Diceros bicornis minor: one gene and its partner. The protein of the gene in region 2 binds, or shares a complex with, the protein of the main gene of each other region. Links are inferred from orthologs where the notes say so. Each region holds a gene or a part of one and is shown on either strand. Other genes may lie near its edges.

Region 1 (8,075 bases), on a different chromosome or scaffold from region 2:
TCTTCCTCCACTTTATATGGGACACCGCCACAGCATGGCTTACCAAGCAGTGCGTCGGTGCGCGCCCGGGATCCGAACCAGCGAACCCCGGGCCGCCGCAGCGGAGCGCGTGCACTTAACCGCTTGCGCCACCGGGCCGGCCCCTGAAAATACATTTTTATTGCAAAAAATTCATATACTACATCAAAAGTCATACAATCAAGTGTCTTGTTCACTGCCTCCTGATTCCCAGTCCCCTCCCCAGAAGGACCACTGTTATCTGCCTGATGTGCATCTTTCCAATGCATTTACATAACACTTAAATGTAATACAGAAATGCATAGTTGTGTGTGTAACCTGTATTCTGTATGTCTGTATCTGGCCTTTTTCACTTAAAAATAGCAGGGTGTGTGGCCAGCCCGGTGGCGTAGTGGTTAAGTTCGTGTGCTGCGTGGACTTAATTTTTGGTGGCCCAGGGTTCACAGGTTCGGATCCCAGGCGCGGACCGATGCACCGCTTGTCAAGCCATGCTGTGGCAGTGTCCCATATAAAGTTGAGGAAGATGGGCATGGATGTTAGCCCAGGGCCAACCTTCCTTAGCAAAAAGGGGAGGATTGGCATTGGATGTTAGCTCAGGGCTAATCTTCCTCACCAAAAAAAAAAAAAAAAAAAGCATGGTGTATATTTATCTCTAGATGGTTCTTCTAAGTGTACCAGTATGTCAAGCCAACTCTATGTGATAATTTGATATACTCAAATATCTCTGGATAATCCACAGCTGTAATAGGCAGAGGTACAATATAATGCGCTACACAAGCTTTTGTAATGGAAAACAATAGATTTCGACAAAGCAACAGGGTGACAGTAGGTCCCAGACAGTGGGCAGGAAAGGGAGCTGGACGTGAAAACACATTCTGACTGCTTCACTCTATGCGAGGCACAAGCAGAGTGGGAGCAAACCCTTTGTTAGGCCCCAGCCTGCTACTCACTTGCTGTGCAGTATTAGAAAACAGCAGCTACCCCTTTGACCCTCAGTTTCCTATAATATATGTAAGGTTTATGGTTAGGATCAAAATTAAGACATGTATGAGGGCCGGCCCGTGGCTTGGCGGTTAAGTGCGCGTGCTCCGCTGCTGGTGGCCCGGGGTTCGGATCCCCGGGGCGCACCGAGGCACTGCTTCTCCCGCCATGCTGAGGCTGAGTCCCACATACAGCAACTAGAAGGATGTGCAGCTATGACATACAACTATCTACTGGGGCTTTGGGGGGAAAAATAAATAAGTAAAATCTTTAAAAAAAAAAAAAAAGATGTATGAGAGGCACTTGTAAGACCAAAGCCATTTAGTTGGTGGCTATTATTATGACTGTCTCATGTTCTCTACCCATAGGCTACTGAAGCTCGTTTCCCTTTTAAAACATCTGTTTTCAATATATGCATAAAAATCACCTGTTTTCACCCAGGAATAGCTGGTTAAAACAAGGTACCAATTTTTGAAGGATTTAAAACAAAACAGAGAAACTCTCACAATTTAATTTCTTTCAAAACTGAAGGTGAAGTACGTATCTGAAGCAGTTTCATTGCACAACTGCTTCTTGATCTGTCTTTCCTTCTTGGGGTTGAGTTTCTTAAACTTAATACAACTAAGTTTCTGACGACAATACAGGTTTAGTTATTTCAAAACGAACGAGGTGAGCATGCAAGTCAGACGTGGATACAGTAAACACCCATAAGCCGTGAGACAAGAAAACCCAACAGCTACTTTCATCACGAAAGGAGCACAGCAGCCATTGTAGGTGGGGGTGAAGGAGCACGCGCCAACTCACACCAGTGTCAAAACACACACAGCTCTTAGCTCTAACTACTGGGTCGAGAGACCTCTAATCCTATTGTAAGAAAAACACTTATTTCCCCTATTACTGGCACTGAATCTAAGACACCACCAACTGTAAGATGTACTATTTCACGTGCCCCCAAAAGAAAGCAAGAATGCAAATGAAACTGTCACAGGTTGACTTTAACGTATATCCCAATTCTAGTAGATGTTAAATGTTTAAAGTTGCAGAATTGCTCAAACAGGCAGGGATTTTTCTCTGTGTTTTCACTGCCAAAGACATGAATGCATGAATAAACAGGGACCAATGAGCCCTAATGAGTAAAACCATGCACAGTGACCGTTCTATGACCGTGGAGGCCCCACACGAGCAGTTAAAGCGCCAGAGCAACACTGAGCTGCTTTAAGCACTACGAAGATCTCCAATTTGTTTTCAAAATCACAAAGCTACCTACGATGGACGGCTACATGTATCAGTAAGTAAAATTTCAGATTGCCTTTACTATGCCTAGACAAGATGCAAAAAAATTTCAGCCTACCAATGAGATTCAAATGTCAGGCCAAGTTATTTCCAAACTCGTGTTTCTAATTTGACAGAGCACAGCTGTGGCAGAGACCTTGTTCATCTGTCCCACCATCACCGTCTATAACACTCACTTTGCAGATCCTTTTTTGAAGGCCCACTATATTCTGTGCAATGTGGATCTAGTGGTGAACAAGAGTTACAAGACAAGTAACTCTAGGTGTGATGGGCGCTAACCAGGCAGGACTCTGGGGCATTGGTGTAAGCACACTGGCCTCACGCTCCCGCGTCGCCTCAACATACATTTCATATCCTGGGCTTGCTCTGCAAAGGGGTTTGAGCAACAGGCCTGTCTGGCTGTCTCAGCTCCATATGTACTGCATCTGGTCTTTCTTCTGCTCTTGTATACAGTCAGGCCCTCGTATGCCTGGATATGCTCCCACTTTCAGCTAAGAAAACAGACGGAAGCTTACAGTGTTTTGGGGGAAGAATGACACATTAACACATAATTAAGAATCAATGTAGCTAAGTGCTACAATAGAGACATACTGTATCTTTCAGAATCCTAGAGGAGTGGGGGTGAGATGATAGGGAAGGCATTTTGGAGGAAGTGATACTGAACTGAATGCTGGGAGTGGATCAAGGGTGGGAATCTTTTTGGAGTGAAGAGAAGCAAAGGCAGAGAGGTGAGAAATGGTGTACTGTACACCAGGAACCAAGAGTGGCTTCCTGTTGATGGAGCGAGAAGCAGTCACATAGGCGCTGAGGTGGAAAGAGAAAAGGAAGACAGATCATGATCTGCAGGCCTGGGATTCCAGGAAGGTGGTGTTTTAGGAAGAAGACTCTTGGCTTGCTTGTGGAGGACAAGTTCAAGGGGGGACAAATGGAGGTAAGGAGATCAGTGGGGAAGCGGGAAAGTGCAGGAGTCTAGATGAGATAAAGAGAGCCTTTGGTCAGGACAGAGTAATTCAGGAGACAAAAGAGGTAGGACCAAGGGATGCTGGACGTGGAGCAGGGGGAGAGGATGAGGGAGAGCAGAGTCCAGGACAATACTGTGTCCAGCTAGAGTCTGAGGGGATGGTGGGAACTAGCAACCAACATAAGAGAGCACAGGTGGCAGGGCAGCAGCAGAAGAGAATAGGTTTTGGGGTGAAGAAAATGAGTCACTTTTGGGCATTCTGCATCTGAGGTGCCTGTGGGACATCCAGGTGGAGATGTCAGGTTAGTAGGGAATAGCTGAGCTGAAAGTAGCAAAGGTCTGGGCTAGAAATTTAGGTTTAGGAACTTTCAGCATATATGTGATACCTGAAACCATCAAAGTAAACTAAATCTCTCAAGGAGATTCCTAATAGAACTGAAGTCAAGAATTCTGGTCTTCATTCCTCTTTCTAGCAGACTTCGCATAAAATTGCATTTTCTTTTTCCTGGGTAGTCTTTCGTGATTTCGCTTCATAAGTAAAACAAGGAGATATCTATTTTTTCAAGTATACTCTAAATGTATTCCTGTTAGCAGTAAGTGAATCAAACTTTTTCCTAGCGCAACATAAAACCTCTATCCACAGTGCAGTTCATACCTCATGTGCTCACCCAAGGGTTTACAGAATGTATTTTGGATCAGGTAAATGAAATCCTTCAAGGCACCCCACTGAACTAAAAACGCAAACTACAAAGCTCGGTGTGACCTGGCCACTGCCTACTTTTCCGACTCCATGTCAAAGTACCATCGCCCTCCCTGACTCACTGGTCTTCCAGCCATTCCTAGGGCATGCTCCGCTCTTCCCTCCTGCCTCTGTTCAGATCTGCTGACCACCACCCCGGAGAGGCTCTCCTGGAACTGCCTATGCAGCGGAGCTCCCTCCTGCCCTGACTTCCATTTCCGCCCCTGCACTCATACGAGCTCGGTTTTAGTTATCTACGCCCCCTAGCTTTACTAGCAGAAGTTCCTCGAGGGTAGGGATTCTGTCTGCTCTCCTGGAACCCCAGCATCTAAAGGCGTCGGTCACACGAAGGCGCGAATCAATGAAGAGCACACCAGAAAAAAATCGGGCTGAGTCTAGCGATTCAAGGCGCAGGCTCCGAGCCAGGCAGACTGGGTCTATTCTCGGCTTCTCCCCTCGCTGTGACTTTCAGCAGGCTACCTGACCCCTGCGGCCGCAGCCCCTCGACCGTAAGACCGGACTAGACCCAGCAGGCAGCGGTGCCCACGGTGCGGACACACCGGGGCGAATGGCAGGCGTGCGAGCCGGTGCCCGACCCTCTCCCTGCTCCCCCGGCCCCGGCCCGGCCGCCATGTGGCGCGGCTAACCGCCGGGCGCCCACCTGTCTCCCTCTGCGTCTTCACGCTGAGGTACTGGCGCAGCTTCTTCACCGCCCGGTCCCTGATGCCCTTCTCGTGGGACGCCAGCCGCTGAGCGAACTGGATCTCGGCCGGCTGCATGGCGGGGGCCATCGCGTGCGCTGGAGCATCCCCGGCCGCAGCCCGCCGCGCCTCCACCTCCCGCTGCCGCCGCCGAACCCCAGCCGCCGTGCCGTCCGGGCCGCGACTGCGCAGAAAGCGGCGCGGGCGGCGGCGCGCGCGCTGATGGCGTCATGGAGGCCCCGGCTCGCAGCGCGACCTGGGAGCCGGCGGAGCGGCCCGGCGTGGGTTCGCGTGGTGCCGTCGCCCTTCCGCGGGCTTTAGGTCGTCAAAGCTCGGGGCCGTTGACGGCGAGCTAAGCCAGCGTTGAGTCTTGGCCAGGAAGAGACGGATGGCCAATTTTAAGTGGTCTAGAATCTTTAAGCTCTCTCCACAAAAACCCCATCCGATAGGCAGCTGTCCTACGAAATACACGGGTTTTTAGTTGCATTGGAGTCCTTGGCCCGCCTCGGTCGGGTGGAGACTGGGAAGAAGGGCCGTCCTTGGGATTTTTGGCGTGATATTGAGGGCAGCTCCATCGATGGGCCGCCCTGGGCCTCTACTGCCGGCAGAGGCAGCACCCTCCAGCATCTGGGTCCCGGGGCAGGTGCAGGGAAGGTCCCGGTACGGGGGCAGAGGCAGGTACGGGGGCAGGTCCCGGTGCAGGGTCAGGATATGGCAGGTGCAGGGCAGGGCCGGTGCGGGGGCAGGATATGGCAGGTGCAGGGCAGGTCCGGTGCTGGGGCAGGTCCTGGTGCAGCGTCAGGTGATGGCAGGTGCAGGGCAGGTCCCGGTGCATGGTCAGGATATGGCAGGTGCAGGGCAGGTCCTGATGCGGGGGCAGGTCTTAGGGCAGGGGCAAGGACAAGGACGAGTTCCTGGACAGGGGCAGGGCGGGGATCTGCAGCGTGTGCTTGCGAGTCTGCCCTCAGGCCTGGAGAGCACGCACTCCGGGAGCTCGGGCAGTGTCGGCTTCCTGCGGGTTTCCGAGACGGATGGTCTTAGTTGTGCGGTAACTGGGTACGCCTGAACCCACAGGCTGCATGCACCATGTTTCGCGAACTCAGCGGGCGTATTGGGGCAAGAGAATGGACCCGGTGACGTCTCCAAGTTCAGGTGGTCATCTCAGTTACTTAGCCAGCCGACTGGACTAAAGCTCCCTGGGGGGGCGGACTCCCCAAGGAGCTGTCGTCGGAAAGCTTCGACCTTTGCTAATGGGGCTCAGAGACAAGCGGGTGAGAGTGGTCACCAGCCGCGTGGGTGGTGGTTCCCTTGACCGCATCGCCCCTTAGTCTAGCATCCCTAGACACACAAGAAAGGCCAATTCGATTTATCTCATTTGACACTTAATCCTGGGTCTCACTGTCCTGCTTTGCAGTTAACAAGTTTAAAGCCCCGGCTGAGCCAGAAGAGCGATGCGGGATCTCGCCGAGCCCACCCCCAGTCCCCGAGACTGAGAGCGCTGCGCAAACTCTATGAAGTTTGAGCCTCGTGGCTCTCTGTACTCGACCCCTCGGCGTGGACGCATTCCCGCGCTTTCTTGCGTGTGAGGTCAGAGGGCGCGTTGCCGCGCAGGCGCAGGGAGCCGAGGCCGTGGCGGCCATGGGCGAGGCCGGGGAGACTGTGGAGGCCTGCCGGGTCAGTCAGGGGGCCCGGCGCCGCAGCTGCTGCGGTTGTCTACCCCGCGCCTCAGTGGACGCTCGGGAAGGGCCTGGGCCTCGTGGGTGGACAGCGTGGCCTGGACGGGGGTGGGGGCGGCGCGGCGGGCCGGTGGGCACCGAGCGGGAGGCGACGGCGCCGGAGCCAGCGCGCCCCGTAGGGCCCCTCGCTGTGCTGGGGCTCGGGTGTGCTCCGGGAGAATGCGGCTTCACGGGTGACCAGTGTCCCCTGAGTGCTCGTAGTGGCGTCACTGCAGTGACTTAGGAGGAGCTCGGACCCCAGAGGCAGATCCGTGTTCCCATCCTGCTTCGGCCCCCTGCTAATGGCGTTTCTTTGAGAAGGCCACCCATCCTCCCCAGGCCTTGGTTTCCAACCTGGACAACCTCGGAGGGCTGAGGTGAACACCACGAAATGAGATGACCAGCAAAGGGCTGGGCGCCCAGTGGGAACCCAGGAAACGTCCTTCCCTCCTGATTAGCCTGGCGCTGGAACGTTCAGGAAGATGCTGGCATTCTCTTTGGTTTTCAGGATTAGAGCTTCTCTCATGTGCCTGTGAGAAAAGGGAACTGGTTCCCATCTTGAAGGCTGGGGCTCGGCTCTCAAGATATGACGTGTATAGCAGAGGGCACTTTAGGTGAAGACGTGCTTTTGAAACAATTATGAACTCAAGAGGCCCTGAAGAAAAGGAAGCAAGCTGGCCTGGGCTGCGGGTTCTAGTGATCTGAAGGAAATGTAATCTTAAAATCTGCTTGCTTTTTTAGCACGTGGGAACTAAGGAAGAATTCGTTAAAGTCAGAAAGAAGGATCTGGAACGGCTGACCACTGAGGTGATGCAAATCCAGGACTTCTTACCCAGGATACTGAATGGGGAGGTACTGGAAAGCTTCCAGAAATTAAAGATTATGGAAAAAAGTGAGTTTTATTTCATTTTTAGCAGTCATTGATGGTGACAGACATCTGTTTCAGCAGATTTACCTTATGTAAATTGCTATAAAGTAATTGTAAGTAAATTCTAAGTACTGTTATAATCCTTGTAATTATTTTTGGGAGAGTCAGATAAGGCATAAGAAAGGGAGGGACCCTCAAATGGATAACTTTTTTGGACAGGTGTAAGTTTGTGTTGGAGGAAGAGTTGCCAGCTTTTAGGAATATCTGTTACCAGTTTCTCTTTCTCTCCACCTTTTTTCCTTGGCAGAAGAATTTTATTCAGTCATGCACTGAATAACGGCCTTTTGGTCAATGACGAACCACATGGACGACAGTGGTCCCATAAGATTAGTACCATGGAGCCTAGGTGTGTGGTAGGCTATACCGTCTAGGTTTGTGTAAGTGCACTCTCTAACGGTCACACAATGACGAAATCGCCTGAAGGTGTTTTTCTCAGAACGTACTCCTGTCGTTAAGCAACATGTAACGGTACTTTTATAATTGAAAAGCTCTACTCCAAAAACGTATAAGTTAAGGATCTGGGCATGGGGAAACTTGCGTGGAGTTGAATGTGTCTGTAGAGGTAGTTAGATGTGTTTCCTTGTCTCTAGGTTGATGGACGGGTCAGCTTCTAGCACTGATTCAAGTTCAGGCTTGCTGGTTCTTGTCCATTAAGATTTTGAGATTTGAGCTGAGCCGTTATGTCAGATGTCAGTCTGGGAGCCTGTTGAAGTTCTGGGAGATGTTCAGGGATTGATGG
Region 2 (7,393 bases):
CCCCTCTGGGCTTTACGACTCGCACGCACCCTGGGCAAGAGGGCTCTGGCCGCGACCCTCCCGCGCAGGCGCAGCTGTCCGGAGAGCCTCTCGCAGGCTGAACACAGTTGCGAGGCCAGGCCAAGGGGCCGCGCACCTACAGTGCTCTGCCCGGCCGGTTTTAAGGCCTTACCGAGCCACAGGCCCCACTCCCGAGGTCCTCTGCCCTCCGGGCGGCTTGTCGTGTAACCGTCTTCCTGGGCTTTGCAAACTGAGGCACGAACCTCCCAAGTGAGGTCTGTGAACCAGAAACAAGAACAAAGCAGCAGTAAAGATAAGGGAGGAAGGCAGGCCCAGGAAAAACCAAGCAGCAAGGCCCGTTCCTTTCTCCAGCCTCCAACGCGGCCCCTGCCCCCATCCCTGTGCACACTCTCCCGAGCCCGCCTGGGCAGAGTGAGCAGGAACACGGACTCCAGCTGCAGGGGCCAGCTCTTGTGCAAGCACGAGGCTGCGAACCGGCTCACCTGGGAAGGGGGAAGGCGCCCTGGCTCCTCTTCTGGCTGCCTGAGGAGCCTGGAGGGGGGTCCTGCTTCCTCCTCAGGGGAGCTGGGCGGAGAAAGACAAAACAGAGGAGGTTCTGAAGTCCTCCGAGGCTGCCAACATGCTTCGTAAGACAGGGAAGGAGCTCCGAAGGCAGAGTAGTGCTCAGAGCCTCCTCTGAGGGAGGCCTGGAGCCCCTGCCTGGAGGGAGGGGGGTGGGCAGCACCCTGCAACGTTAACCGCCAGGAAGCATGCAGAGCCCCACAGCCGGGGTGTGAGCGGCACCTCTGCCCTACAAGCCCAGGAGCCGCTCCTGCAGAGAGAACAGGAATTCTCATGTGGACTGACGGCCCAGCCCCAAGTCTGCCAATGCTAGAGGAGGGAAGTGCAGATGCGGGAAACACGGGGTCCAAAACACGGCGCAGTCACAGTTGCCGCAACGTGGAAGCCACGGAGACGTCCTGCGGCAGGGGAGCGCATAAGTAAACTGTGGTGCCTCCCGACAACGGGGCAGTACTCAGCGCTGGAGAGAAAGGGCTCTGGAGCCATGAACAGACGTGGAGGAGCCTTAAGTGCGTGTTCCTCAGTGAAAGAAGCCATCTGAGAAGACAGTGGCCTGTGTGATTCCAACTCGGTGACGCTCTGGAAGAGGCAGAACTAGGGAGACAGTAAAAAGATCAGTGGTCGCTGAGGTGGGAGGGAGAGGAACAGGCAAGGATTTTCAAGGCAGTGAAATACCCCGTATGACACTATAATGGTGGAAACACGTCACCACCCATTTGTCCAAACCCACAGGATGTACACCAAGAGTGAGCCCTCAAGTCAACTACGGACTCTGGGTGACAATGAGGTGTCCACGGAGGTTCATCCTTGGTGACAAATGCACCATTCCCGTCAGTGATGGTGATAATGGGGGAGGCCGTGCATGTGTGGGGGCCGGGGGTATGTGGGAAATCTCCATTTTACTGTAAGCCTAAAACTGCTTGAAAAAAATAAACTGCTCTTAAAAAAAAAACTGGTGAGACTTATGGCTATAGCTAAATAAATGTGGATATGTATATGGTAAAAAAAGATCGACATCTGGAACTGAAACTTACACGATTTCAACTTTGGAAGGGGAGCAGGAGGAGGCATGAGGACACGCTAAGGGGCCTGCGCTGCGCCCAGGCAGGTTACGGAGACAGAACGAGCCTAGATGCTGATGGCAACAGTCTGCTCCACGGTTTTTAATTGGGACGGGGTGTTCGGGAGGCTTCTGGGGTGCTGCTGGCAAGATGTCATTTCTCAACACGCATGTGTTCCGCTTGTCTGCTTTCTGTTCTTTTTTTCCTGTGTTATATTTCTGTGCATGTGGTACTTCTTAGTAAAACATTTAAAAAACAACAGAAAACAAGAGAGTGGGAACCCACTTCTGTGGGCTCCATTCCCGTGGACTCAGACGGCAGGGCGGGCAGCAGCCGAGACCCCGTGGGCCCTGTTGGCCTCTCCGGGAGTGAGGGGCGTGGTGACACTGCGGTGTCTGTCTGGGAGAAGGGCTGTGACACATGGCCCCTCTTCATGTCACACACACAGGGCTGCCTTCCGTCCTCAGACTGCAATGACCTGAGATCAGATACGCACACCCCCGGCCCCCGAGAAAACTGCTCTGTCAGCGGCCCACATGCCTCAATTTCTAATTCAGAAAATTTGGCAGTCCCATCCATGACGCCTTCTCTGAAGACTCTGGCTGGCAGGAACCGCTCTTCTCCTAACTCCTGCTAACCCTTCCTACTTTGCTCAAGTTACGTGTGGTTTAACCCTGTGGACAGACTAAACTGTTCTCCAGGTCTTTCTTTTTCCCCACTGTGCATAATGACATATATCCTGAAAAAATTAAGGAACTGGGGAAACGGAGCCAGACGCAGCCAGCTCAGACCCGGCCTTGCACCAGCTCAGAGGCCTTGGGCAAGTCATTTGCTCTCTTGAAGCCTCAGGGTCCTTACCAGTCAAATGGGGAGAAAAACTGACTTTACAGCTGCAAGGATCCAATGAGCTGATGTGTGTAAAGCGCTTATTAACTCGCTGCCTGGCACACAATGATTGTTTTTCCCTTTTACTAGTCATTATTTAGCAGACCCACGACTCCTTGGTCCCTTCTTGATTGAGAAGGAATGTGGGATACATACGGATTAGGCCAGCAGACAGGACATGCTGTTGCATCCGTAACTAAGTGACCTTGGAAATTGGAGGTTTTCCTCGCCTGTGGTTAAAACATCGACCTTTCTTGCTGGAGAAGCGAGTCCTGGGAGGAAAGCTTCAAGAAGCACAGTCTGAGGGCCCTGAGCCCCCGGGGGAGGCACCGCATGGGACGGGTTGTGTTGGTCCCCCCGCCCCCCAACCCTGTGCACTGGCCCCTGTGCTGTGCTGTCATCAGGGAGGCTGCTGGAAGATTCTCAGCCACCTACCTGGAGGCCGCCTGTCCTGGCTCCTCCCTGCTCCGCTCTGCAGAGGAAGCGGGTCCTGAGCTGCCTTCTGACTCATCAGGGTGATGTAAACAGCCCGACTGGGAACTCTGGGGGGCCCCATCACAGTCTCCTAGCCTCAAGTTCTTTGGGGGTTTCGGAAGACGGATTCCTTCTCCTCCTGGTTAGAGACAAAGGGAGATGAAAGGGTGGCGTGTTAGAAACAACCAAACAAGGCAGGACCACCGCGGCCAAGCGAGCAGGCTCGTCCAAGGCCAGGACACCCCTGCTCCGACGGCCGCCTGGAGAGCGAGAGATGGGATGCAACCTCGTCCAAGAGGTGGGACCTAGGAGCTTACGCGGCCATGGGATTCTAAGGCCTTTTCGCTACGGCCTGGTCGTGGCTGTGGCTGAATCCTGAGGGAGCCTGGCGTGGCTCCAAACCACCCGAGACACCCTGGCCCAGCCGGTCTCTCTGGGGAAGTGGCAGGAGGTACGTGCTGGCTCTTCCAAGTCTCAGCTCAAATTTCCCTGCAGAGGGGCCACCCCTGACTCCTCCACAGAGCACCCCCTTGCAGCCCCAGGCTCTGCCTCCTTCACGCCACAGCTTTCCTGCAAGGACCCCATGGACTGGGTCATTTTCTGGCCCCCCTCTACAACGTGCTCCATGCAAGGAGGGGCCTCGTCTGCAGGGTCCCCCGTGCCTAGAAGAGCATCCAGGAGATCACTCCCGGGGAGATGCAGCCAGCACTGGATCCCGTGTCCTCTAGTTTCTCGATGTCCGCAGAGCACCCCCACCGGGAGAGCTGGGACCCGAGTCATTGAGTGCCAAGGTGATGTCTCGGCCGCCCCTGGTCCCTTACATCTCTGCGATACCTTCCCCATCGCTGAGTGCAACTTAGAACCTAAAGGTGCTTATTAACAGCTATTTGTTGAATGAAGGAAACTCCCTTGCACAGAAACTGCCACCAGCGGCTGGCTTGGACGACCTCCCCAAACCTGACCCCGACTTAATCACCGATTCAATGAACAAATGCTAAGGGCTGACTCTGGTGAGTTCCACGCCAGACACTGGCCTGACAACCTGGGTGCGTCAAGACAAAACTTTGAGGTAGGGTCCTGCTGTAATGCCCATTTTACAGATCAGAAACCCAAGGCACATGGAGCCAAGGGATCGGGACTGGGATGCAGGCAGTCCAACTCCAGAGCCTGCACACTTCACTGTACTTGAGCATTTACTGAGCACATACTGTGTACTGTGCTTCTGAGAACAAAAAGACTAACCAGACCCAGGCCTGATCTTCCTGGGTTCAGGGAGGGAGACCCTTTTGAACCTCTGCTCCCTCCTCCCAACGCCGACGCCGGGGTCCTCCTCAGCACTCCCCTGGCTGTTCATACTCCACTAGACGGCAGCGCCTTCCTGTCATTTCCCCTAACTCTGTCCATACGGTACGGTTCATGCGTGCCATTAAGAACTGTACTCCACTGCCGTGTATTCAGTTAGCTCTCCCCATGAGGAGCATTTTCCTTTCTCCCGACTAGACCTTGAGGGTGCTGAGGGCAGGAACCGAGTCCTCTGCACCCTTTGACCTCATCCCTGCCCTGCCTCTGCCCCCAGGTGCCCACCCCAGCACTGCCTCTAGGGCCAGGCTCCGACCCACGTTTCTTACACTAACACATTCCCACCTTGAGGCTTGCCAAAAAAGGCAAAATACAGCAGCTTCGTTTACTTGGTTTCTTAAGATGCCCAGACACTAGCTCGCTTTGCTTGTCCAATGAACATTTGTACCAAATAAAAAGCAAAAATATCAACAGAAGTGAAGAGCCTCCCCTTTCCTTCCGGTGATCTGTCCCCACAAGACTAATTTAAGAAAAACGAAGGCCAAACCTTGTGTAGTGCAGGGAAACGGCCTCTTTCACCACCTGCCAGAATCATCTGTCTCTCTCCCCGCCCCATCCAGGACACACAGAAACTGCTGTCCCGGGCCGGCCCAGGGGGCCACTGATCTGGGGAGTCCACTGCCAAGAGAGGCCCCAAGAGACCTGCTGTGGGTGGGCCTGTCCCCGGCTCCCCCCAGGTCAGAGAAATTCCTGTGCCTCCAAGCAGCCTGTTGTGCATCTCTGCACAAAAACATTTCAACCCGTTGGTAATTAATTTTCTATCCCACATCTTGGGAAAAAAATGAGTGTTCCTCCCTAAGTTCATTAAGCACTCAGTAAAGAAGTCATTTCTAAACTTTTGAGAAGTTGAAGTTACCTTAGACAATAACAAGGAAATGGAACCATACCATGTAATATGGGCCGTCTTTCTTTTTGAACGAGGAAATTCTACGTGTATATTGACAAGTAAAGACAATCTTGATCTACCAGGAAGCGGAAAACGGAGGGTGCAGAGCAGAACGTGTGATGACTCAATTTTCCAATAAAAACACTCTATTTGCGTATACACAGAAAAAGTTTAGAAGCAGCAGTGTGCCGCGGTTCATTTCCTGGTTTTTAAGCTGTACTACATGGCTGATCACCGTCCTGCGGTTTTGCCAGACGGCAACGTTAGGGGAAGCTGGGGGAAGGGGAGACAGAACTCTCAACTATTTCTTGCAACTTTTCTGTAAGCCCCAAATTATTTCAAAATGAAGTTTTCTGAAAAGCCTGGAAGGGCAATCATAACAGCAGCATGCATCGGTGTCCTTCCTGGGGTCTACTCTCCGTGCTCTGCAAATATACTAACCCACGTGTGAGCTCTGGGCCTGGCTCTCAACCTCGGCACAGCTGACCTCCGGGGCTGCATCATTCTGGGTCATACAGGCCATCCGGGGCGCTGTAGGATTCTGAGCAGCATCCCTGGCCTCAGCCACTAAATGACAGTACCACCCCCAACACACAATTGTGAAAACCAAATATGTCTCTAGATGTTGCCAAATGTCCTCTAGGGGGCAAATTCCTCCCTGACCAGGTTGAGAATCACTAAAGGAAGGGTAGGTGCTCTTAGGATCTCCTATATACAGAAAGGGGAAACTGAGGCCCAGAGTACATCATCTGCCATCATGCAGTGAGCAGGAGTGCTGGGAGGAACCCAGGTCTTGGCTCAAGAGCAAAGCACTTAGCCACACACCAGATGGCCGTGCAGCACGTCGAGCCCTATCCAGGGGTCGTCTTTGAGAGTGGGCCCCAGGGAGGTGGCACCCCGCCCTGAAGGCTGTGGGATCCCACCGGGGGCTCCAGGAAGCCCCACGAAGCTTTCCCTTCTCACTGTATGCACTCCTCCGTAGTTTATACTTTCCTTACCGGCACGTATTAAGTCATCACTTTCTTCTTAAGGAGCTTGGTGTGGTCATGGTAGCATCTCTGCAATCAGTAAGCCCACATTCCTCCCACCAGCAGAGGCAGCACTAAAGAGGTGTCCACCCGAACGACCAAGTACCTGAGGTCCGAGCCTTCTTCCTCTTACTCATGTTATCCTTCCTTGAGAAACCTGAAAACAGCCAGCCAAACCCCAGCATTACACTCAGTCCCCGCCCCTGGGCGCAGAGCCCCCTGCCTCGCTGAGGGCGGAAGCCCCCCGCGCCCACCTCGGCCCATCTGGCTGCTCCGAGGGGTCAGCTGGGCCCCACGAGGGCACAGGGCGGGAGCCACAGCCACGTCGGCTGTGGCCGGGGAAGAAGTGGAACCTGCGCGCTGCGGAGGGGACGGGGACTGCCCGGCGCCTGCCCAGGGCCTCCGCGCACGTGGGCACCGGGTCCTCGTGGAAAGCCCTGGGGACCCGGGACCTCGTCCCTAAGTCGGGGCGGCGTTTGTGAAGCCCCCTTCCTCCAGACAGGGGTCTCCAGGACCCTTCCGGGGACACCTGGGGACTTCAGAGGGGCCACTTGGGGCCCTTCGAGGAGTGGCGAGCCCTTCGGGGATGCTTGGGGCCTGGGAGGGGCCGGAGTCGCCTCAGGGGCCGATGAGCCCACACCGACCTGGGCGCAAGGAGTCGTCAGGTCTCGCTGTCCTTATCGGGAACTAGGGAGGTCGGCCTGGATCTGCTGGGGGACAAGTCGGTTAAATCATTTGCGTTAATTTTGGGGGGAAAACACCAGTAGGCCCTCACGGAGACGGGGCAGCCGGGGCGCTGGAGCCGAAGGGCCAGGAGGCCCCTCAGGGCCGGGGCCCGAGCGCTGTGGACCCGGCTTCCGGTGACCAGGCCCACACTAGCCCCACCCCGGCCACTGAAAAGTGAGGACTGCCCAGACCGAGACCGCCAGGTGAGGCCGGAGCCCGTAGGAGGCCGTGAGACGCCGCCTCCCCCGTCACCCGCGTGCGCCCCGCCTCTTTCCCGCGCACTGCGAGGCCCCGCCGCGCGCATGCGCGATGCTAGCACCGCCCTCACACGCTCCGCCTCTTTCCCGCGCAACCCATGGCACCGCCCGCCGCCCCGCAGCGCGCATGCGTAC

What was found.
Region 1: the proteins of BRME1 (region 2) and HSF2BP are in contact, whole or in part, in a crystal structure (PDB 7Z8Z), measured with the Mus musculus proteins. The link is inferred for Diceros bicornis minor from reciprocal best matches to the Homo sapiens genes BRME1 and HSF2BP. Residues at the interface, in NP_083321.2 of Mus musculus: Met541, Gln542, Asp543, Ala544, Thr545, Val548, Arg549, Leu551, Val552, Leu555, Ser556, Asn559, Ile562, Met563, Thr565, His566, Leu569, Lys573; in NP_083178.1 of Mus musculus: Glu23, Phe24, Val25, Lys26, Val27, Arg28, Asp31, Leu32, Arg34, Leu35, Glu38, Val39, Gln41, Ile42, Phe45, Leu46, Arg48, Ile49, Glu53, Leu54.

Annotation. Positions count from the first base shown.
Region 1 is NC_080766.1:43,114,081-43,122,155, reverse strand, and holds the start of HSF2BP (heat shock factor 2-binding protein), read left to right. Parts: upstream 1-4,980; 5' UTR 4,981-5,371; intron 5,372-5,606; exon of another isoform or gene 5,607-5,767; 5' UTR 5,768-5,845; exon of another isoform or gene 5,846-5,943; coding exon of another isoform or gene 5,944-5,964; intron 5,965-6,107; 5' UTR 6,108-6,331; coding exon 6,332-6,367; intron 6,368-7,149; coding exon 7,150-7,300; intron 7,301-8,075. Other genes in the region: RRP1B (ribosomal RNA processing protein 1 homolog B), read right to left, coding at 4,654-4,783. UniProt on the Homo sapiens protein: Meiotic recombination factor component of recombination bridges involved in meiotic double-strand break repair.
Region 2 is NC_080769.1:3,770,353-3,777,745, reverse strand, and holds the start of BRME1 (break repair meiotic recombinase recruitment factor 1), read right to left. Parts: upstream 2,964-7,393; intron 2,813-2,963; 5' UTR 2,685-2,812; intron 1,737-2,684; exon of another isoform or gene 1,177-1,736; 5' UTR 858-1,176; coding exon 504-857; intron 278-503; coding exon 173-277; intron 1-172. UniProt on the Homo sapiens protein: Meiotic recombination factor component of recombination bridges involved in meiotic double-strand break repair.